Astyanax mexicanus: one gene and its partner. The protein of the gene in region 1 interacts with the protein of each later gene in a biochemical or structural test. Links are inferred from orthologs where the notes say so. Each region holds a gene or a part of one and is shown on either strand. Other genes may lie near its edges. The genes, in order: pias2 and sumo3a.

The links.
Region 2: the proteins of pias2 (region 1) and sumo3a form a complex in vitro, tested with the Homo sapiens proteins (2 studies listed by BioGRID, with this or other methods). The link is inferred for Astyanax mexicanus from reciprocal best matches to the Homo sapiens genes PIAS2 and SUMO3.

Annotation. Positions count from the first base shown.
Region 1 is NC_064429.1:14,343,470-14,355,388, reverse strand, and holds the start of pias2 (E3 SUMO-protein ligase PIAS2), read left to right. Parts: upstream 1-7,291; 5' UTR 7,292-7,416; coding exon 7,417-7,440; exon of another isoform or gene 7,441-7,692; intron 7,693-8,489; exon of another isoform or gene 8,490-8,576; intron 8,577-9,011; coding exon 9,012-9,468; intron 9,469-10,142; coding exon 10,143-10,230; intron 10,231-10,364; coding exon 10,365-10,415; intron 10,416-10,515; coding exon 10,516-10,606; intron 10,607-10,704; coding exon 10,705-10,839; intron 10,840-10,927; coding exon 10,928-11,033; intron 11,034-11,246; coding exon 11,247-11,320; intron 11,321-11,430; coding exon 11,431-11,591; intron 11,592-11,919. UniProt on the Homo sapiens protein: Functions as an E3-type small ubiquitin-like modifier (SUMO) ligase, stabilizing the interaction between UBE2I and the substrate, and as a SUMO-tethering factor.
Region 2 is NC_064412.1:39,369,937-39,381,706, reverse strand, and holds sumo3a (small ubiquitin-related modifier 3-like), read left to right. Parts: upstream 1-6,946; 5' UTR 6,947-7,081; coding exon 7,082-7,102; intron 7,103-8,495; coding exon 8,496-8,624; intron 8,625-8,807; coding exon 8,808-8,879; intron 8,880-9,293; coding exon 9,294-9,356; 3' UTR 9,357-10,379; downstream 10,380-11,770. Other genes in the region: pttg1ipa (PTTG1 interacting protein a), read left to right, coding at 245-347, 1,818-1,883, 2,369-2,415, 3,452-3,498. UniProt on the Homo sapiens protein: Ubiquitin-like protein which can be covalently attached to target lysines either as a monomer or as a lysine-linked polymer. Does not seem to be involved in protein degradation and may function as an antagonist of ubiquitin in the degradation process.

The DNA of each region.
Region 1 (11,919 bases):
CAGGTTTTTATGAGTGAGCAGACTTTAGCAACACACACCTACTACTGTCTCCAAAAACAATTATTAGTGTAAATGATTAACTAATCACTTATTCTTTTTTCTAAAGTTCTTTAGCGTGGTTTTAGCACTAATTATAAATTATAAATAATACATTAAGTACATATATAGACTTATTTCACAGTTTATATTATTCATCATCTGCTGTGCTCTCTAAATAGAACTGCTACAGATCACCATATGGTGCTTTGGCCCCACAGTTGCTGCTTTCATTAGTACCTGGTGTTGTGTTACTGTAAAGGTTGAAACAAAAAAAATGTTTCATCCATTGTTCTACTTTAGACTTTTTATAAAAGAGAAAAAAAATCACGAATACTGTTTGAACTAGCAAAACTTTCCTCCTACTTTCTTCAGAGCTCTTGTTTCCATGCTGCTGCCAGATCTTTCAGGTTCATTGTATGAAGATGGATGAGGGTTTTTGGCCTTTGACCATTACAAAAACAATCTGTACCTCTTGTTGATTAATAGAATATGAAACAGCGGAGTTATTTGGCTTTATAAATGTGGAAAAATGGGTCAAATATTGAATATCAAAAAACAAAAATTAAACAATAAAATTGCTTTGTAGAAGATTTTGGATTTTTAAGGTGAACAAGCAGCAGGAGTTTTCCTTTTTGGTAAGCAAGACAAATGCTGTAAATTCTCTTTCTATAAATGTAGTTGATAAAACTAAATAAAATAAAGTGTTTCATAGCTGAGGAATGTAATTTATGAATCAAATCAACAGATACACACAGATAGTGCCCTCTGCTGGATAAATGAAGAGGCTGCAAGGTTTTTTAATAACAATCAAAATAAGAAATTAGGAAGAATTTTAATTCAGATCAATATGAGTATATAACATGTATTTTGTGTAGCAGTATAGCTTATCAATTGCATATAAACACTGTGTAACAATGAATTTTTTTAATATTTAGAATGTTATTCTTTGCTTTAAAAACTTTTTGTATATTTAATACAGTTGTCTTTCATAGGTGTGGGCCTCTGTCTGCCATTTTCCCAGTGTGGGGGAGTTAAAGGCAAGGCTACTAGGATGCCAAATATAAGGCAAAATATGGACACTGTATTATCTAACTGTAGCACTAGAGCGTTAACAAGCAGCAGGTTAAAATGTAGATAACTGATGATAATCACAGCAGCCCTTTAACAGATCATGAGTGGAAAATTCACCTTTCTCTTTCTAACAAGCAGTTACAACTGCATATTTACTTTGATTTACATATTTAACTTTGATTTTGTAATATAACAACTTTATTCTCGAAGTGTACTGTTTTTAATTTTTAAGAGTTGCCCTAATACGCCATTGTAGGAGACATGAACAGTACTGGAATGAATGAAAAAAATTGTGAGCACGAATTAAAGAAATTGTTCACTCAAATTAAAGAAATCGTGAGCACGAATTAAAGAAATCGTTAGCACGAACTAAAGAAATTGTTCACTAAAATTAAAGAAATTGTGAGCACGAATTAAAGAAATTGTGAGCATGAATTAAAGAAATTGTGAGTACGATTTTAAGAAATGGTGAGCACGAATTTAAGAAATCGTGAGCACAAATTAAAGAAATTGTTCACTTAAATTAAAGAAATCGTGAGCACGAATTAAAGAAATCGTTCATTAAAATTAAAGAAATTGTGAGCACAAATTAAAGAAATTGTTCACTCAAATTAAAGAAATCGTGAGCACGAATTAAAGAAATCGTTCACTAAAATTAAAGAAATTGTGAGCACGAATTAAAGAAATCGTGAGTACGATTTTAAGAAATCATGAGCACGAATTTAAGAAATCGTGAGCACGAATGAAAAAAATCGTTCACTCGAATTGAGAAAATTGTAAGTACAAATTTAAGAAATTGTTCACTCAAATGAAAGAAATCGTGAGTACGAATTGCAAATCATTTACTCAAATTTATGAAAACATGAGAACAAAGTACAAATTGTTTACACAAATTAAAGAAAACAGCTATATTGTTCGCTCTATGTAATATTGTTTTATTCACGGCTTCTCCGTTTTCTCCATTTTTAAGTTTAAATTTAATTTAAAAAATGTTTTAAACACAGATTGATAAAGTTTACCTTTACTATACCACACATATATATATATATTACATATATTCCGTAATTTATTCAGGAATAGACACTCCCACAGTTTTGACCTGCTGTGCTGATGTTGCTCTGGGTCCAGCAGGACTAAACTGCTTTAAAAGTAAATATATGTTCTGATTGGTATGTTGCCAAAATAAATGGCATATTTCACTTAATGTAACAGAGTAAAAGTTATTTTATTTAATGAATTAAATAGAGTGGAGTTAAAGTAAAAAGTCACCTAAAATGGGAATACTTCAGTGAAGAATGTGTAAAAACGGTACAGTATCGAGTTACATTTGCTTTAATACTATTCACCACTGATTCAACGATGAAGCACAACTGGAAGATTATTTTCCAAGACTGGAAAATTATATTTCGGCTATTTTACATTAAAGACACAAAACTCCTTACCTAATTAAAATATACCACGTTTTTACATTATTAAAATGTTAGTAAATGTTTTGTGTACAAAACCATTTAAATTGGCTTTTTGGTTCCATATACAACCATTTTTTAAAAGGTTTGTTAAGGGATTGTAATCTGTTTTCTTACGAAGAACCAAGCAACCCATTACTTTAAGCAGCATAATGGAAAATTGTAATGTCTGAACCTCGAGCTCCCCCTACAGTCAGGAAGTGTAACTCACATGTAAGGTGTCTTCTAAAACAGGGGTTCTCAACCTTTTCTACGTTACGGCCCACCGTAATAATAATAATAATAATAATAATAATAATAATAATAATAATAATAATAATAATAATAATAATAATAATAATAATAATAATAATGATAATAATAATAATAATAATAATAATGATACTATCTAAAAAAACAGAGTATAATAAACTCTTGCTACCATATCTTTACCCTGAAACGGTGATTTAGGCTTTCCAAATATAGTACATGAACTTCTTACTGGAAACATGCTCTAATATTGTGCTTCTTTTGTCTTTTTACCTTTAAATATACACATAAGAATAGCACGTTTTGACATGGTAGCACAACACCTCCGTATGGGTATCTCCATGACGTTTTTTTAATTCAAATGAAGCAACAGGTGTAGTCAATCATAAGTTTAATATTTTTAATCAACCTCACTGTGATCTACAGTTCTATAAATCTGTTTTCAGCTTCTCCTCCGTGGTTGAAAGGCAGCTGTTCTGTGTGTGTGTGGGTGTGTGCGTGTGTGTGTGTGCGTGCGTGTGTGCGTGCGTGCGTGTGTGTGCGCGTCTTTCTTGCGGGCGCGCCTCATTAACACTAAAATTTAATTTCAAGTCGCGAGCCACAAAATATCGTTCTGCGGGCCGCAAATGGTCGGCAGGCCGTGAGTTTGAGCCCCCTGGTTTAAAGTGCTCACTACAGAGTACTGTCTCCCTCTGAGAATGAGCCAGCGGACCCCTAGAGCAGGGGTGTCCAAACTACGACCCGCGGGCCATTTGCGGCCCGTTTCCTGTTTTGGAGCGGCCCGCGAGGTATTTTAGAAATAGAATGAAAGTTGGCCCGCTGGTAAGCAGGTTTTTATAATGTGAGATTCAAAGTTGAACGCTAGGTGTCAGAAACGGGCCAAAGAGTCGGAGAGAGTGAAGTTGAAGCGCAGAAAAACGGACCAAAGAGTCTAAAAGCGGCGAGAGTGAAGTTGAAGCGCAGAAAAACGGGCAAAAGAGTCTAAAAGCAGAGAGAGTGTTCAGTTGTAGCTCAGAAAAACAGGCCAAAGAGTCTAAAAGTGGAGAGGGTGCGCAGTTTTAGCGCAGAAAACGGGCCAAAAGAGTCTAAAACGGAGAGGGTGCGCATTTCTAGCGCAGAAAAACGGGCCAAAGCGTCTAAAAGCTGAGAGGCTGTGCAGTTGTAGCGCAGAAAAATGGGCCAAAGAGTCTCAAGGGGAGAGGGTGCACAGTTGTAGCGCAGAAGAACAGGCCAAAGAGTCTAAAAGCGGAGAGGGTGCGCAGTTGTAGCGCAGAAAAACGGGGCTAAAGAGTCTAAAAGCGGAGAGGGTGCGCAGTTGTAGCGCAGAAAAACGGGCCAAAGAGTCTAAAAGTTGCCGTATTATAATATTAAGGAGTTTAATATTAAGAGACCTCATGAAATGAAACATCAATATGAAAAATCATAGTTTACACAACACTGTCAAAGATAGATAAAATTAAAGTAATCAGGAAAATGTATTATTTAAAGTGGTATATTTCATTATTTGTTTTATTACAGAGTCTGTGGCCCGTGACTTCAAATATATTTCTCCTTCTGGCTCCCAACAAAAAAAGTTTGGTCACCCCTGCCCTCGAGGGTGCTTCGCGCCCCCCCCCCCCCCGGTTGAGAAACCCTGTTCTAAAAGACACAGAGAGACAGAGCTAATGGTTTGGAGAGTCATGTCATCTGCTGGTGTTGCTCCACTGTGTTTTATCAAGTCTAAAATCAGTGCAGTTTTGTTTTCCCACAAAATCTTACAGCACTTCATGCTTCCCTCTGCTGACAACTTTTATGGAGATGCAGATTTCATTTTCCAGCAGGACTTGGCACACTGCCCATACTGCAGAAAGTACCAATTGGTCTTATATAATCAAAGTTTCTGAGACACTGATTTTTGGGTTTTATTGGCTGTAAGCCAATAAAAGAAATAAACACTTAAAATTGATCAAATATTTTTGAGATGGCCCTGTAAGGCTCTTAGGTGCAGGCAGGAGCTCTGGAGTGGTGTCAGCCAGCTGTTTACTCTCCACTGTAGCAAAAGATGCTCCACATATGAGCTGCTAACTCATCCATTTCCCTTTATAAAGCTACGAGTCGTCTCTCAAATATGGTGAAGAAGGCGACGTTTATACAAGTATCAATGTGTGCATGTGAGGCGTTTAGGAACAGATTTGTTCACATTACACACAGATCTGATCTGATCTGATCTGAGCAAAAAATCGGATTTGAGCAATGTGGTTTTAATGTGAATGTAGCCATATGTAACACTAATAATGAAGCACTAATAATATAATTTATATATTGATCACTGAAAACTGTATTCCTCAAACATACATTTTGATATACACAGAAAGCTCTACAAACATTTTAATCTAGTACTGCTGTAAATTAAATAAATTAAAATAGTACACCAAACAAGTTGTAGAAAGGAAATAAGAAAAAATATTGCTCAGAACTCAGATAAACACACAGGCCACAGATACTTCACAATGACAAAGTGAGTCTTCATTAATTCCTTGAGGAGATGCACCTGTGTTTTGTCACGATGGGCTTGAGGTGAGGGGCGGAGCCTATAGCCACCTGGAGCACATGGCTGGTGCATTCCCCACTGAGGCCAGCAGAAGGAGACATAACAACGGATCCAGAAGAACAAAAGAAATATGAAAAAAATATGCTGTAATAAACTCACTATATATTCCTCTGCCAATTACCCAAACCAATCATTTGGACTCCCCTATCACTAGTGAAGCGTCAACATCAGGAGGGTGAAGACTAGCACATGCCTCCTCCAATAAATGTGAATTCAGCTCTTGCCTCTTTTCAAACTGCACGCTCGGAGGAAAGCGCAGCGACTCGGTTCTGATACATCAGCTCTCAGAAGCCTTGTGCTGATCAACTTCAGCCTTTGGAGTAATGTGGGGTGAGAGACCGCCATCTACCCACTCAAAGAGAGCAAGGCCAGTTGTGCTCTCTCAGGGCTCCAGCAGCTAATAGCAAGCTACATGAACAGGATTCGAACCAACCCATGTATTGTTTATTCTGTATTTGACCTATATTTGCATTTCAACTACGATTTTACCATGCTTGACTCAATGTTTATGGTATGCTCTCTGCCCTTTGTGTTTGTTTTCTGTTTTTTACCTTGCTTGTTTCTGACTACGATTTTGGATTACCTTTTATTTTAATAATACTTTTATTATATTATTGTGTTGATCTCATCCCTGCCTGGCCCTGACACGGACAGAAAATACACGTTATATTAATAGTGGTCCACATAATACGTCATATTTTATGCAACAGCACTTTTTTGCTATGGAAATGACAATGAAGATTCTAGGAAGCTATAGGTGGGTAGGCAAAACTAGGCTTTTTCCAACAGTGATTTAATTAGCAAACATCTGAGTATGTGTAATTCAATCTGTATGAAAGTAGGTCAAGAGAGTCTGCTTATCTGGTTACTTACAGTAATCCAAAACTTTCCATCTGTTCACCACTGTAATGTGGGTTTACACTTTTCTCCTATACATAGCATACAGCCACCTGAAGACCAACACGTGTCTCACACGTGTCTCTAAAGCATCAGAATCACACACTATCACTATTTTCTTCACTGCATCTTTATTAAGAGTCTGTAGACTCTGCTGTTTGTAAAATCCTCTGTATGCAGTTAAACCTGTCCGGGTTCTCCGTGTGCACAATTTGTTTGCCAGACCTCAGTGTAGCTGGTGACTCGTGAATGAATCATTCTTTTGAACCGATTCTTTTTAGTTAAACGGAGAATCGATTCAGTTCATTGAGAGGAATCATATACGAAGCAAATACAGTAAATACGCCAGATTTAAGCCCTAATAATAATAATAATAATAATAATAATAATAATAATAATAATAATAATAATAATTATTATTATTATTATTATTATTATTATTATTATTATTATTATTATAATAGCATAAATAGAGCTGCTGCACTATATTATGGAGGAACTGCGTATTTTTTTAATTAGCTCTTCGCTGTGGTGTTTTCGTTCGTCATAAAGGTAAAAAAGCTTAGTGTGATGTTTTTATAAACAGGAACTTGTTTAAAACTGATTTCTCAAGAATAAAAAACTATAACTTATAGCAGTTAGTTCCAGTGATTCAAAAAGATCCATTTTGTTGTTTATATATTGGATTACTTTTATTTAATTATGCACTTTTTTAAATTATTGCGCTTGTCTCATTCTGCGCATCCACATCCAAGTATTTGCCCCATTACATATTTATTTATCAATCAAACTTTAATATCAGATAAAAATAATCTGAGTAAATATTAAAAGCACTGTTTGAATAATACTTTATTTGCCCTAAAGTTAAAGGGGAAGGGTTACACTCGAAAACAAGGGGAAGGGGTAAAGTGGTAGGGCCAAGGGTTAAATGGGATTGGGACTGAAGCAGCTTGTTGGTAGGAATGTGATGAATCAGAGGTTCGGTTCATTGTGGAAGGAGTCGGTTCAGCGGGGTGAATCACTGTAGCGGTGGTTTATCGGCTGTCGCTGCGAAGCTGAGTTCAACCCTGACCGGTCAATCGTCAGGATGAACCGAGCCAGAACATGGCGGATATTGAGGAGTTACGGGTAGGCTACAGTGTTGTGATAGCTGACAGTGGCTGTGTGCTTCTCTGAGCTCAGGGGAAGCTCGCTCTGCCCGCAGTGCTCTGCGGGCCACGGCTCGGCCTGCGGGTGGGAGTCAGAGAGCGGCGGGGTGGCTCAGAGCTGTAGGCCCGAGAGCTGCTGCTAGAGTCCCGCTAGAGAGAGAGAGAGAGAGAGAGAGAGAGAGAGAGAGCGAGCGAGCTGCTGCTGCTGCTGCTGCTGCGTTAGCATATCAAGGTGCATTGGCTTCGGTTATATTATTATTAATTTTAATATTATTAATATTATCTAAATGCTTTTGGTTTATGTGTTCAGTTTTCACAGTAAAGTGTTTGATAATTCTGTAGTTAAATGCTGTAGAGTGTCTCTTCGCTCGGGGCTCTTTTGTTGTTGTCTGTTAGCCTGTTAGCGGGTTAGCAAAGCTAAGCTAACAGCACTGCTACAAACATTTGCAAACCTAACCGTTAGCTTAAAGCTAAGTTACCTTACTAACATACAACTCAAGTTTTCGGGGATTTAACCTCCTAAATCTGAGTTAATTCTTTCAAATTGGTAGCTAATGGTTTTGGTAAAGCCATAGTTGGTGACTGACAGCTGTAGGTTAAGTTAGCTAGGGTGTGTTTAGCTATTTTAGCTAAGCTAGTAGTGTATTAGTGTTGATTTCTGGTCTCAGTGTTGTAGTTAGTTAGTTTTCCTCTTTATGTTGCTTTAAATTACTTAATTATACATGAGTAGTTATTTAAAACGCACACAGTGAGAAACTGCACACTAAGTCTGTATTTTTGCTTGTGACTTTAACCTCCCCTAGACTCTTCTTTCTTTGTCCTTGATGTTACAGGACTCTCATTCTTAATTATAATCTAATATCCTCAGTAAACATGCCATAAAGATTATCTAACTGTGGAAAAAATGTATTATACACACCAAATCTGACTGTGAAGTTTCATATTAACTCAAATGCCAAGTTAAGCCTGTTCTGTGTCTTGTTTACAATGTTTATCTAATGAGTTTTGGACTTATTCTCAACATTTTAGATGCAATTCGCGCACATTTGTAAAGGATTTTTAAAGAAAAAAGGATTAACAAGTAAGAACGATCAAGCATGGACCGTATGTTGAAGGGTCAGTTGAGATTTTCTTACTCTTTTGGGGAGTGGGGGTTCTGGCAGGGAAATGTTTGTGTGGGATGTCTTTTGAACAATGCATAATGTTACACTGGGGTAGACGTATATCTTTTTATATAATTTATATTTGTAAATGTATAGACCTTGATTTAGTCAAATGTGTATACAAAAACATCATAATTATATATACATATTGATTTCAAATCAGACTTCTTTATTGGGTATGATACCTCTTATTTTAAGCATTCCTCTTGTTTACTGTCATGCCTTTTTTGTTATATTTTATTAGACATTGAAACAGCCTAAATGTGTCATAGAATCACTTCTTTTTATCACCTGCTATAAATGCAAATTTACCTAACCAGACTTTGAACTTGTCCCTGTCACCTTTTTCAGTTGTTTGCCTTTATGGTTCTTTGTATTTGTTTTGCAGAATATGGTATCAAGTTTCCGTGTCTCAGAGCTGCAGGTACTGCTAGGTTTTGCTGGAAGGAACAAGAGTGGTCGCAAGCATGAACTTCTGCTGAGGGCTTTGCATTTGATAAAGAGTGACAGTAATCCTGCTGTGCAAATTAAAATCAAGGAACTGTATCGCCGGAGATATCCTCGAACATTTGACAGTCTTTCGGAGTTATCAAACATTAAGGCCTACTTTCAGACAGGGGACAGATCAACGGTTGTAAGTCCGGAACTTTCTCTTGGTGCTAGTCACTCAGACGTGGTGCATCAGCAGTTGGCCACCCGCAAATCACCAGCATTTCAGGACTCAAAGCCCAGGATGAACATGCAGCAGCCAAACCCACTTATGCCCCCTGTCCACCCGGACGTCCAGATGAAGTCCCTCCCATTTTATGATGTGTTGGATGTATTGATCAAGCCATCGAGTTTAGGTAATTTTGGTGGGGATTTTTATGGGCTCCTACAATGTCAAATATGCCAAACAATGATTTTAAAAGTATTTTTTTTATATAAAGTATATAATTTTATTTTTTAATACTATAATACGAAATGTGGCATTGTTAAAATATTTAACTATTTTAAATACATTATATTTTCATTAAAAATGCATCAAGAATGTTGGCTTGTACTTTATTTTTATCACTGTAGTGAAAAATCCTTGTACCTCAAAAATGGCAATTTTAAAGGTATAAAAAAAGTTTAAAAGTATATTTCATTTATCACATTCTTATTCAGTGCAGGCCAATTACGATAATTACGGTATTGACATATTGTATGTCAAAATTAAATAATATATTATTAAAATAAAATTAATTAAAATAATATATATATATATTTAAATACATGATACTGTGTGGGGGCTTTCTTTAAAATTATTGATTTTATATAATAGTCTTGGACTACAGAGTATTTTATACACACACACACACAAAATGCTGTGTTGTCCAAAACTAGGCTTAATCCCTGTGTTTGAAGTACCCCGCAGTATAAAAAAATATATGAATCATACCAAAACGGAAAAAAATGGGAGATGCAAGGTTTTGTCTGACAGCAGCGTAATTAAACTTAGTATCTAAATTATATTCTTGTACTTCTTTCCCCACAGGACCCAGTACTGTTCAGAGGTTTCATCAGGAAAAGTACTTCATCTTTGCCTTGACTCCACAGCAAGTGAGAGAAGTTTGTATTTCACGGTAAGAATTAAGAATGACTTAATTCTTGTCTCTTTAATTTTTTTTCTTGGTTTATTTCTTTTGTGGCTGATTTGGCTTGCTGCTGTTGATGATGTCTCTTATCCATGTATTTAAATTTGATTGTTTGTTAAAAGGGATTTCCTTCCTGGTGGGAGAAGAGACTATATGGTTCAAATACAGTTACGGTAAGGATGACTCTCAATTTAATGTTGTGTAGTTTATGAAGCTGTGATATTGGTCCTCGAGCTTACTACTACTTCTTTTTTTTGGTTTGTTTGTTTACAGGTTCTGCCTTTCAGAGACCAGTTGCCCTCAAGAGGACAACTATCCCAACAGTCTTTGCATCAAAGTCAATGGGAAGCTCTTTCCTTTACCAGTGAGTAATTAGATGTCTCTCATACTTCATCAATTAGGATGTAATGTGGATGTGAAAATGAGCAGATTTGATGTTTCTTTTTTCTGCGTTTGTGCTAGGGCTATGCACCACCTCCTAAGAACGGTGTTGAACAAAAGAGGCCTGGAAGGCCTTTGAACATCACGTCTCTCGTCAGATTGTCCTCTGCAGTACCCAATCAGATATCAGTCACGTGGGCACCTGAAATAGGAAAGGTAGGCAGATTAATAAATAAAAAACAATGTTTTGATTTAAGTTTAAATGTTTGATAGTTGTACCTAATTTTTTTATTTTTTCCCCCAGACATATTCCATGTCCGTTTACTTGGTACGGCAGCTGACGTCACCGTTGCTACTGCAAAGATTACGAATGAAAGGGATCAGAAACCCTGACCACTCAAGAGCACTAAGTAAGAATTCTTAATATACAAAGATTGTTTAGTATTTAAAAGAAGAATAACAGCATTTCCTGTACAGGAAATATTTTAAATTCTGTCCTGTTGATTTATTTTGGGATGTTTTCTGTGCTTTTTATTCATAGTGCTTTGTCACTTGTTGTTGGGGGATTATTTCTCAGAATCATTAATGTAATTAAAAATACTCACTTTCTGTCATGTTTTTAGTAAAAGAAAAGCTCACAGCAGACCCAGACAGTGAAATAGCTACAACCAGTTTGCGAGTGTCCCTCATGTGCCCAGTAAGTTCTGAAGGTTTTATATATTTTATCTTTGCAAAATATTTTTTCATATTTTAACATGCCTTTTTGAATTGCGTTTGTATTACTAATTAAAAAATGTTCTTTCACAGCTCGGAAAGATGCGCCTCACAGTTCCCTGTCGAGCGGTTACCTGCTCTCACCTTCAGTGTTTCGATGCAGCTCTGTACCTGCAGATGAATGAAAAGAAACCCACCTGGATCTGCCCTGTGTGTGACAAGAAAGCCACATATGAGAGTCTGATCATTGATGGGTAAGTACTGTATGTCTTGGTTGTTTGCAGGCATGGTTTGGATAATGAAATTTGCAACTTACCACGGTTAATTCCAAAATTGGTTGGCCGTCATTAACGGTACACAGGGAAACACATTGGTTGATTTTTATTTATAAGACACTCTCCGGTCATTTGCCAGAATACATCACTTCATTGATGAATGTAAACAGCAGTAATTATCAGACTCGCTCTAGTGATTGGATCAGCTGTCAGGTTCCAACAAGCTGAAATTCACTTCAGAAAACTTTTAAACTCAGCTTACTGGTGTCACTCAGTCATTTTAAACTTTTAATATCTAATTTACCTT
Region 2 (11,770 bases), on another chromosome or scaffold:
CATATTGATTTTTGAGGGGTTTTTTTTACAATATTTCCTAGCACTACTGTGACAGTCTCTAATAAATGAATGATAAATATTGTCTGATTATTGATGGTTATCCCTGTAATTGTAATCTGTGTTTGGATCTGCTGTTGCTGCACTGAAGTTGTTAACCAAATTTTTAAAAAGGTGGTGTATAGTGTGATATGAGTGTATGTTCAAGTTATTTAAATTTTATATTTGTATTTTTTTTCAACTCCAGTGAACTTCCAGATTTTGATCATTACGGTGTCAGTGGTGGCGGGGGCGCTCATCATCGCCTTCTTCTTCTGCCTGTTCTGCTGCTGCAAGTGTGAAAACTGCGGGTAAGTGCAGCCAAGGCCAGCAACGGCACATACAGCAGCAATTCCAAATACAGAAGGCTGTTTTGGCCTGTATCGAGCAGTGCAGACCTATAGCCTAACAAACTCTGACTGCTCTATTTACATGTAATTTGATTCAGGAAGTGGTGCGCTCAGCTTGTTCCAGTTTAAAAGGAATAGGCCAACTGAATATCAGCTGATTTTAGGAGCATGTGGGAGGGCTTTTTTTGTGTCAGCAGTGAATTGTGGATGACAAAATTAATCAAAATAAGAAAATATGTAGTGAAACCTGCAGTCATTAACATGTCTAAAAAATATTGATGCTGACAGATGAAAACCTTGTATTTATTATTATTATTTTTTTTTTTTACTTAATTTGAATCTGGTAGTTGTTCTTTCAATGTTTGTAAAATTTCATGATGAGCAATGATGACCAATAGATGCTATTTTTAATAAATTGTTTAGTATTAGTACCTTATATCACTTAGAGGCACATCAATATATCATGAAAAAAACACTAATTAATTACAAACTACTACATAAAAAGTGTACATTTGTTCATAAGTTGAAATCTGAAATCTTGCTTGAATGAGATGGAGTAAAGTAGAGCTAAGTAGAGTGAGGTAAAGTGAAGCAGAGTGAGGTACAGTGAGGTAGAGTAACGTAGAGTGTGGCAAAGCAAGGTAGAGCTAGATAAAGAGCTAGGTGCAGTGAGGTACAGTAAGGTAATGTAAGGTAGTGGAAGGTAGGATGAGGATGATCGAAAATTATTGTGTGCTTTTTACATTGCCTTTATAATATTAATGACTTGTACGAGATTTTCGGAGGATTGTGAATTTTAAGCTTATATTCTCACTAGGGCTGCAACGATTAGTCAATATAATCGACAATGTCGATAATTTAAATTTGTCAACTACAAATATAATTATCGACTAATCGTTAATTTGTAATAGTTCCACATTACATAAAAGTTTTGGAGACAGGACCGCAATAGGAGATTGGAGAACTTAATCTGTCTCCAAAAGTGCCCAAACTCAACAAATTACATATTTAGTCACTAAATATCAAACATCCAGACATGCCTTTTAAATCTCATGTTCAGGTGTTTCTATCGTTTTTAGAGATGGAGGACATAAAGCAGAATAATCGTTGACTAATCTACTAATTGAGAAAATTATCATCAGATTAGTCGACTACCAAAAAAATTATTAGCCCTAATTCTCACACACATTTACATAATGCACAACCACTTTCATGTTTTATTCTTTAGAAATCTGTGACTGTTGACTTCTAGTGTTGATTAGCTAAATTAGCAGTGCTAATCTAAAGAAGCCAGACTAGAGCACCAAATGTGTTTTGGCTAATCACAGTTGGGGTTAATGGAAAATTGATTTATTTTAAATAAGTCAACAAAACTGTTGAAAACATTGTTTCTAATTTCCCTTTACCTGCTGTGTGTTCTAACCCCGTTAGAAGCTCCAGCTCTGAGAGCAAGATGCAGCGGCAAGCAGACAAGAGGAGCACCAAACAGGAAAAGCGGTACATTTACCAAACCGACTGGATTATTTTTTTTTTACTGTGTTTAAAGGCCATTTGGTAAAATGTTTGTACACTCCTGTAAAGCCCATGAATCAATTGACCATGGACAAATTAGCATTTTTCATTTACATTTCAATATACAACACTTTACAGTCATTAATGGTTATTTTACCTATGAAAGGTAATTCACAGATAATTCCAATGTTCTTACGCATAATAATGTCCAAGTTACACCCACACACTCACGCATACACACACACACACTGCCTTTATATATCAGCCTCTGCATATCTTCAGAACAAAGGGAAAAAAAGTGCTGCTGTAAAGTTGGTCGTCACTAAAAATGTTCCAGTACAAACCGGTTTGGCAGCCATGCTGGACTGAGATAATCTACAGACTTGTCTGTCTGTATATGTGTGTGTGTGTGTGTGTCTGTGTATCTGTCTGCATGGATTTACAATAAGAATATATTTGCTCTTTTACAGGAAAGCTGAGATGAGAGTGCGACATGATGAAATTCGGCAGAAATATGGTAAGCAGTGTCATAAGTGATGCCCCCTCACACACTGATGCTTCACTGTATGAACATGTACAGATTATCATTAAAAGAACCTTCCTCCACCCTCTATAGAAAACCACGTTCATTTCATTTAATCAGATAAAATGAAAATTGAGGTCTAACAGAAGTCTGCTAAAGAGACTGACATTCAGTAAACTGCTACTTTAACAGACTACTTTAGGTGAACCATGTTTTCATCAAATGTTAATTTTTGCTAAAATGGTTCATCCTGTCTTACAATGACAAGGTGAAAATTGCAGCAAAAATAAACATTTGACGAAAACATGGTTGACCTAAAGTTACAAACATGTTGTTTTGTTCATGGCACCCTTTTTAGTTTCAAAGATCAATTTGGATTTCCTAAAATTGTGTTAAATACCTTGACATTTTAACATGACAGCTTGAACATCTTCAGCTTTACCCCAGTTCAATATGGAGAGTGTATGAATAATATTAAGTGAAATTAATGTTATTAATTGCTGATTAATAAATCTGATATCAAAAGTTAATTTCTTAAAGGGCCAGAGTTTTCCCAAGATGACAGGGTGGGCATGGAATTCTTAGCTTAATATTTTTATAAAAAAAGGGAAATAGCTAAATGAATAATTGAAATAAATATTGTGTTAATTAACGCCTTAGAATAATTATTTAACGTAACGTGGCACGTAACTGTGGACATGACGTAGGTGGCCTTTAAACAAAAGAAGCTAAATTAGAGCTCCAATTGTCACCCCTGTGGAAGGCTAGTAAGCATATTACAACAGATATAGTGATGGTTATGTTTGTCAGTTTTGCTGGAGTGCCTCTTTAAACAGAAAAGCGCATGTTTGTAATGTAATTATTTTTAAATTAACAGTCCACATTTCCTCAGCCTTCAGGTCCACTCACATCCATTATGTACTTTTTCCCAGGGCAGTGCTAAAGTAAACATGCACTCAGAATGTGATATGGCAACAATATTTCTCTTTCTTTCTCTCTCTCTCTCTCTCTCTCTCTCTCTTTCTCTCAGGTCTCAGTAAGGCCAGCCCTTATGCCAGGTTTGAGAATGCTGCCTGAGAGGAGCTCCTGAGTGAACCTTCAAAACCTTTGCAAACTGCCTTTAATGACTTTTACTTTGATGCTGCTGTCTGATAATGTCTGATTTTATTAGCTGAGTCATTATCAAAATACTGTGCCTTTTTGGCCCTGAAGACAAAAAAAAACATTACTTAAGATTTTTCATTCTTTCGACAATTTTTAATCAGTTTAATTTCTAAACGTATGACTTCAGATTACACAGAAATGTTTTCACAGGATGTCTTCTAGTTTAATCAGTTTTTATTTTCATTTTTTAATATTATAATTAATGTAATATTTTACCCGTGACAGGGTAAACAACAGCTTTTCCTCAGCGAAATATGAAGACAATATAAGATATATAATGTAAATAGCTGAATATTTTTATGAAAATAACAAAATGAATAATTTAATTTGTTTTTATTTCACTGTGCCACAAAAGGCACCTTATACTGATAGTGACCCATTGCCCCAAACTATAGGCCACATCATACTAATAGTTTTCTGTACACTGATTTTTATGAGCTCAGAATCTTTAAAGGGTTTAGTGGAAATGTTTAGTTGGGACTTTCTTAATTTAGGACAGGGGTGTCCATTCTTATCTGCAAAGAGCCAGTCTGGCTTTAGGTTTTCATTTTCAGCCAAGGTGAAGCTCTTGTTTTCACTAGTTTGCAGACAGACCAGTTGATGAAACCAGTGTGCTGCTGGTTGTTTATAGTAAAACAATGGATTGGACACCTTGATTAAGATTTCTCTGATTTATTGCTATTTATGTTAATCAACAGCAATACGTTCCTATGTATTGTAGGTTTGACTGAGAATATGGAAAATAAAAATAAAATCTTTTTTTCTGTGAATAGCTGTGTTCCTTTTTTATGATTTCATTGTTTGATCGTTATTTTAGAACTGAGTTTGTTTGCCTTCAGAGAAAGAACAAAATTAACTACAGATAAAATCCAGCTAAGGACCAGCAAGAAGATGAAGGCGGTTGAAAAGATGGCCAGTCTGGGGAAAAACACACAGTATACTGTACGAAAACTGGTAAAGCTTGTTAACACCAACTTAGCTCTTAACCACCTTAACACAACTGACAAAGCTGGTCATACTGGTTGACTAATCTGTTATACTGGTAAACCATCTGAGTCATGCTGGTCAACCAGCATTATTATGCTGCTAATTCTAATTGACTAGTGTAGTTTTGGTGATCATCCAGCTTGATTAAGCTGCTTGACATGACTGTTTGTCAAGCCTGTTTTTCATGCTGGTCCTGGAGATCAGCCAGTAAACATATAGGTTGACTAACCTGCCAAGTTGGGAGACCACATAAATTCCCTGAAGTCCAGAGCTAAACTGGTTAATGTTTGTTATGCTTTTCAAGGGCATTAAGCAGTTGTTGACCTGTCTATCAGAATGTAAAAAAATATATATGAGAGCTTTTCAAGAAGATTAATTCAGCTGAAATGAATGAAGTGGTTTAAAAATCAGAACTTTTTCAAGATTATGATGGTAAAGTTGGGAATAAGTATTTTTAATAATATAAAACTGTGTAGCAAGTGTATAAATTAATGTACATATGTTTTAAATTATTACATTTATTAAATTATTATACATTCAATATAGGACAATATAATAAAGTCAAATGTCAAGAAATGATTAAAACAAAAACTAAAATGAATGCAAATACATAATTACAGTATACAGCATATAGTGTCTAGAAAAGGTATGTGAACCCTTTGGAATTTCATGGTTCAATTGGTAGCATAAATTTGTCACAAAATGTTATTTGATTCAGAATAATGGTATTAAAAATATGATATACCTAAAATAATTATTATATAATATATAATAATATATATATAAAATTAGAGTCAAGCATTAGCACTTGGACTAATGCTAGTTTAAAGGTGTGGACTAGAGCTACTTTGATAAAATCCATTTAAACTTTTTGATTTTGCTCTGCACAAGAAGGATACCTATATCTGAGCAATGCTGTGCCAAAAAAGAGCTTTCAGAGAATCAAATATTAAAAAATGTTGATTTACATAATGTAAAAAAACATAAAGGAATTACTAAAAGCACATTGAAGCTCTACCTTGGTACTGGAAAATATTTTATTGACAGATAACACTAAAATTAAACTGCTTTGCTGCACTAAATCTGATATAAAATGTCACTGCACATCACCATAAAAACATCCTTCCAACTTCCAAAGTAAGGTGGAGGGAATATCAAGATCTGGATGAATTCCCGAGTGTATCAAACAATTTTACAGGAGTAGAAGTTGGGTAATGCAACAGGACAGTGACCCAAAACCCCAGAGCAAGTTCACAACAGAATGGTTTAAGAAAAACAAAATCCACCTTTAGGATGGGCCAAGTCAGATCTCAGATGCTATGGATTGAATTATGTGATATTTTAGGCACAACATATTTTTCAATGCTAATTTAGATGAAGATCAGATCATATTTTAAGACAAATGTATAAGCAGATTTGTGAACCAAAGGGTTCACATACATTTTTTCCACTTTATGTTTATAATTTAATATGTCATTTGTTTATATCATTTCAATTTTTAAGAATTAGGCAACGAGTATAACTGTTGTATTATGGTATTTTTCATAAAATTGTATTAATATTAATATAAAGGCAGCAGACACTGTTTTGCAAGTTTATAAAATCATTTTACAGATTTTAAATAATTCAAATAAAATATCCGAACTTATTTAAATTTGAATTTTAAGAATTGTCAAATGTCAAGGCATGGTTGAGAAAATAACAAAAATACATGCAAATACATTATTACAGTATATAGCTTATGCTTATCAATTCATTCAGCACTTGTTAACATAATTTTTATTTACTTATTTATTTAAAAAAAACGTTTTTATTGTATTTATTGTATTGTATTTTACAGAAAATAGTTATTAAGGTAGATATATAAACAGATAATAATAACAAATATATAAAATCATTTTACTGCTCTGACATAAGGCATGGTTTGAAAATCTGGGATCAATAAATTATCATTTATTCATTATTATTATTATTATTATTATTATTATTATTATTATTATTATTATTATTATTATTATTATTATTATTATTATTATTATTATGGCGGCCTATTTGTGTGCAGGTCCAAATCGCTTGCCCCTAGTGGCGGAGAAAAGAATGACTAAATTGTTCATTAGACACAGAAAACCCACAGACACAAACGTCACGTGTAAAAAATCAATTATATTCGGTATCTATCAATAGGCCTGTCTTCAATACGGACCAGTTTAACTTAAAATATTAATAATCCTAATTTAATCCGTGGGTTTGAGCGGGGCCGCGCCTTTTTGTCTCTGTGCGCGCGACCCCGTTTTTCTTGTTTCTTTTTTTTCACTCCTCCCCCCAGAAGAAAGAGGCGCGCACGGGAACGCGCGGCGCGCTCCCGCCCAGACTGGAACACGTGACTCTGTGACGCCCAATCAGGGCCGAAGGAGGTAAAGAGAGGCGCGTGCTCGTGGCGGCCGGGCGGACAGTAGCGAAATCACACAAACACGGTGAGCGGAGATCAGCAAGAAAACCCGCGGAGAAGATGTCTGAAGATAAGCCCAAGGTGAGCCGAGAGCCGGGTGTCCGTGTGGGGAGCAAGTGTTCGGGGGAGAGGGAAGGAAGAAGAGCGCGCGCGGAGGGAAAAGCGCCGGTTCAGTGTTATATTCAGAGTGCGCTCGGCAGGCTGCGCATTTGTGCGGGAAAATGGAAGCCAGCGTGCGGCCGCGGGGTTTTTCCATTCTCCCGCTACATTTATAAAACCCGGTTATTCCGCGGGTTCTTTAAATATTTCAGGGAATTAGACACAGGCGGACGGTCGTCCATTGAAAGCGCGCCGTTGTTTACCTGCTCTGCGCCGTTTTTCCGTCGCCGTGTGAGAAGCAGCGTCGAGCTTTGCGGCTTTTCCTTTGTGAAAGCGGAGAAGTGGCGCTACGAGAAGAAGCGCAACGGGCCGCTGACTGGAATCGACCGAGTTTATTCATCATGAGCCTCTTAATTGGTTTAAATCGTGTTAAAATGCTCGTTAATTTAAACGGGGAGGGTGAAGGTGAGCGGGTTGTTTGGGAGCTGATTTTAGGTGCAGGCTTTTAGCTGCACCAGATGCGAAAATGGCGCACGGCGGCGGCGGCAAAGAGCCTCAACGACGCGTCTCCTCACTGAGAGCTGGGTAGTGTAGCGGTTAGCCACTTAGCTAATGTTAGCTACCGCCGTGTTTCAGCTCGCTTCATGTTGTTTTGTGAGGCTTGTTGCTGTAATGGCCAGGTTCTGGTGTGTTTAGCTGTAAGCTAGCTTTCACTTTATGAGGGGAGCTTTGCAGTGTGAGGCTTATGGAGGGAAAATAAGCTAGCGCCTCTCCATTTTCTCACACCCCGAGCTCTTTAGATAGCATTAAGAGCGCTTAAACAGGAAAGGGCGAATCTGCGCAGTTTCACCACTTTTTAATCGCTGTATTTAACGCTAGCTAGTCAGTTTTCGCTAATGTCTGACTGTATCTGTGGGGAGATGTTAGCTAGGAGATGCTATTAGCTCAGACAAAAATAATGGTAGCTAGCATTAGCTAACATAGGTTAGTTAACCAAGCTAACGCTAGTTAGCTAATTGAAACAACCATTCAGCCCATTCTGGGTTCATCCATTTCCTTAAGTTGCCAGTTTTTATTTCTGCTTCTCAGTCTGGTTTTCAGGAAAAGATATGAGAAAATGGTATCCAATCTACTTTTTGTCTTTCTGTTTTTGGTACATAAAGTTAGCCACATTTACTGAACCACAGAACACCTTTACCACTTTCTGAACAGCTTTTATAAACATGTGATTAACCACATCCGTCCATGGTATCACTCAGAATGGTTACCCTGACGTTTGCAATAGAACATGTTAACATTTTGTATTTGTATATTCTAACCAATAGAAGCTGCTTACATGTCTCATTGTTACATTTCCCCCTCTTTTCTCTTACAGGAGGGAGTGAAGACTGAGAACGATCACATCAACTTGAAGGTGGCTGGGCAGGATGGATCAGTGGTCCAGTTTAAAATCAAAAGGCATACACCCCTCAGCAAACTAATGAAAGCATACTGTGAAAGACAGGTGTGTGCATGCTTGCTTGTTTGTGTTTTTTGACTTTTGTTAATAGGTGGAAAAGAGATTGGTGATTGCATATTTTGCCTTTTATATATGTTTGTTTTCTTCTCTTTAATGCGGTTTCCATTGTTACTGTGTATGCATGCATGGTCTTGAGCTGCACTAATGTTTTATTTTTTGTTCTTGCAGGGGTTGTCAATAAGACAGATTAGGTTTAGGTTTGATGGACAGCCAATAAACGAGACAGACACGCCGGCACAGGTGAGCATATAAGGATTACCTTTGTCCCACAATGACTAAATCACAGCTTCACCACAAATTGTATAGATTACTTATAAGTAGATAAAATGTACAAAAATTAGCTCATGCAGTCTGAAGTGTAAAAGCTATGTCAACTTTACGCTAGCTTAAGGAATAGAATCCAGAAATTTATGTAAAAATTAACTAAACTCTAACATTTTGTTATTTATGAATCTGTCCTCTTGGGTGCCCCTAAATATTCCAGTACATTTGTTGCAGCCAACTGCTATCTTATTGGCTTAATGTCTCTCTGAGCGAATTTAAGGTTAATTATAAACTATTGTCAAAATTTGGGATTTTTTTGCTCTTTTCTCTTATGTTTATTTACTTTGATCAGTTGTATCCAGTTGGTTTAATATGTTTTCTTTCTTGCAGTTGGAGATGGAGGATGAGGACACTATCGATGTATTTCAACAACAGACAGGCGGTTCTCGCTAAACCTATTCGCGCAGCGAGCTCCCACTCGGCTGTTTTATTTGACATGTTTTCCTCTAAATGCTCTCTTTAACTGTACTGTTCATTTCCCTTCTTTGCCAGTTATTTGAAAGTCCTCCCTAGTTTTCATAGGGTGGGACCAGGTTTTTTGTTTTGATTTTTTTTTTTTTTTCTTTTCATTCCCCCTCCCACTTCACTCTTTCAGTATGTAATCATGTCTGTGAGATGACAAATGTGGCTGCAGGCAAAACTAAGATGGCTGCCCTGAGGTATAGTTCAAAATGGCCATCTGAACTACTTGTTGCGTCTCTCAGTGTGTAATACTGGCCAGAAAGTCGGGCCATAGTTGCCTGTCCCGCCATTCTTTCCATTTTGAAATATAAATGGTCTATGCCCATATTGTCTATATTCTGCAGAATGAGGATCTTCCCCCTTCTGTGTCATGCAGCTTTAAGTATCTTTTAAGCCAGGATCTATTTTATGTCTGTAAGCTGAAGAGATGCCCACCCTGCATTCTTTGTTTGTTTCTCCACATTTATTTTAAAATGAACTGCCTCACTCAAGAAGTAACAAAGGGGGATGGGATTGAAGGGAACTTTCTTCCTCCCTCAGAGGAGAACCCTGGTCCGGTAGTGTAATAAGTGGTGAGGATCAGGATACTGGACCAAACCCTGAAGAGAACTAATGCAAAGTCCAGGTTTTTATTACAAATATCTATCAAGACCCTGTTTATTCTCTTGAATTTACAGAGAGGACAGAAATTGACCATTTTGATTTTTATAGTCCCAATGTCTACTGCCTTGTTAAAGCTAAAGGGAATTGCTGTCTCCAGAGAGGAAAGGTCTAATTTATCCTCCCCTCCCCCCAAAACTTGTTTCTCACCTCCTGCTGTGTGGTCCAGCAGACTGGTATCTGTAAGGGTTGGGCTGAATCAGCATCCATGTGTTCTCCATCTTTCTGTACTGATTTGTACATTATTTGTTGTCCTTTACTACTGTATACAATAAATATAGTTTGGTACTCAGATTGCTGATGTCTTGTTTATTATGATTGTGGTGGATCTAATGAGGAAACGAGTATGTGCGTGACATGTTTTATTTGATGGCAATTTTGAGAATACCATTACATGGTGCTTTATGTAGTCAGAAAATGCTTGCTTGAACATGCTCTCGCTGTGTGTGGTGATTACCCAAAAACATCAAAGAAAGCACATCCAATCCCTCATTGCACACTACCCACATAGTCCGTGTACTAGGCAAGCAAAAATTACATTTGATTAAAAAAATTAATGAAGCATTATTAGTATTAATGTTAAATCTATTCCCATCTGCCTTTTTGTATGTTTTTTTATTTATTTTTTACTACATATAGAGAGCAAGGCATTTTTGTTTGTTTTATTTTAACAGATGCCCTGTCATTAAGTATGTTAGTTGATCATTTGTGGTACAAGGAATATGTTGGGAGGCATTACCACCCACAGCAGCATGTGGTTAGAGTTGTCTGCAAGTGTTTTTGGCAAAAATCTTATTCATATTCAATGCCTGAGGCAACACAACCATATTCTGCAGATCAGTGCAGCTTGCTTTAGTTTTTTTGAAAATGGCAAAAGTCATGGGACAGGAACCGTAGCATGTTGATGCATTTTTTCTAACTGATGATGTACACAGGCAAGCACAAATTGTTCATATTGCACAGCAGATCTTCAAAAAGATTTTAATATTTAACATACAGTTAATATTTGTACAAACCAACCTTGAATGTGTTGTTCAATACAAAAGCAATATAAAAAAGCAAAAGTATAAATAAAATACAGCCTTTTTGTGTATAGTTATAAGTAGCTTCTCTTTTAACATCCACTCTGAAGGACTGGATAAAGTAAGAGCACACGATCTACAGTAACTGGAATAGAGAACTAAACATTTGTGCAAAACAATGATATGAAGGGAAAACCCCAATTGCCTAGGTAATCAAGTGTTGTGTCAATTTACCAAGTGTGTTCAACATGTCAGCAGTTATCTAGATCTATAATTACTGTTGTGGAGTCTGGATTTGTGGCACTTGTGATGTAGATTCTGTTGGTTAGCCTTTGGACATTTTTTTTTTTTCAATTTCGTCTTTATTGACCAACCATTTCATGTGTTTACTTTGCCTGAAATAAACAAACACGCAACAGTTGGACTGCTCCACTGGTTTTCTCCTAGATGCCCCTATTAAACATGTAAATGGCTTCTGAGTAGAAGAGTCAACAGAGAACGGCTTCTGAGGGCCTTTCCAGACTGTGTTGCACTATAATTATTAAACATTCATCTTTTTTTCCCAAAAAAATGATTCTCCCTTTGTCAGTCTGAATAATAGAATCTTGTGCTGCATTCCATCTGAGTTTGGATGTTGGAATTTCCTTGATCTTGGTTCTTAGT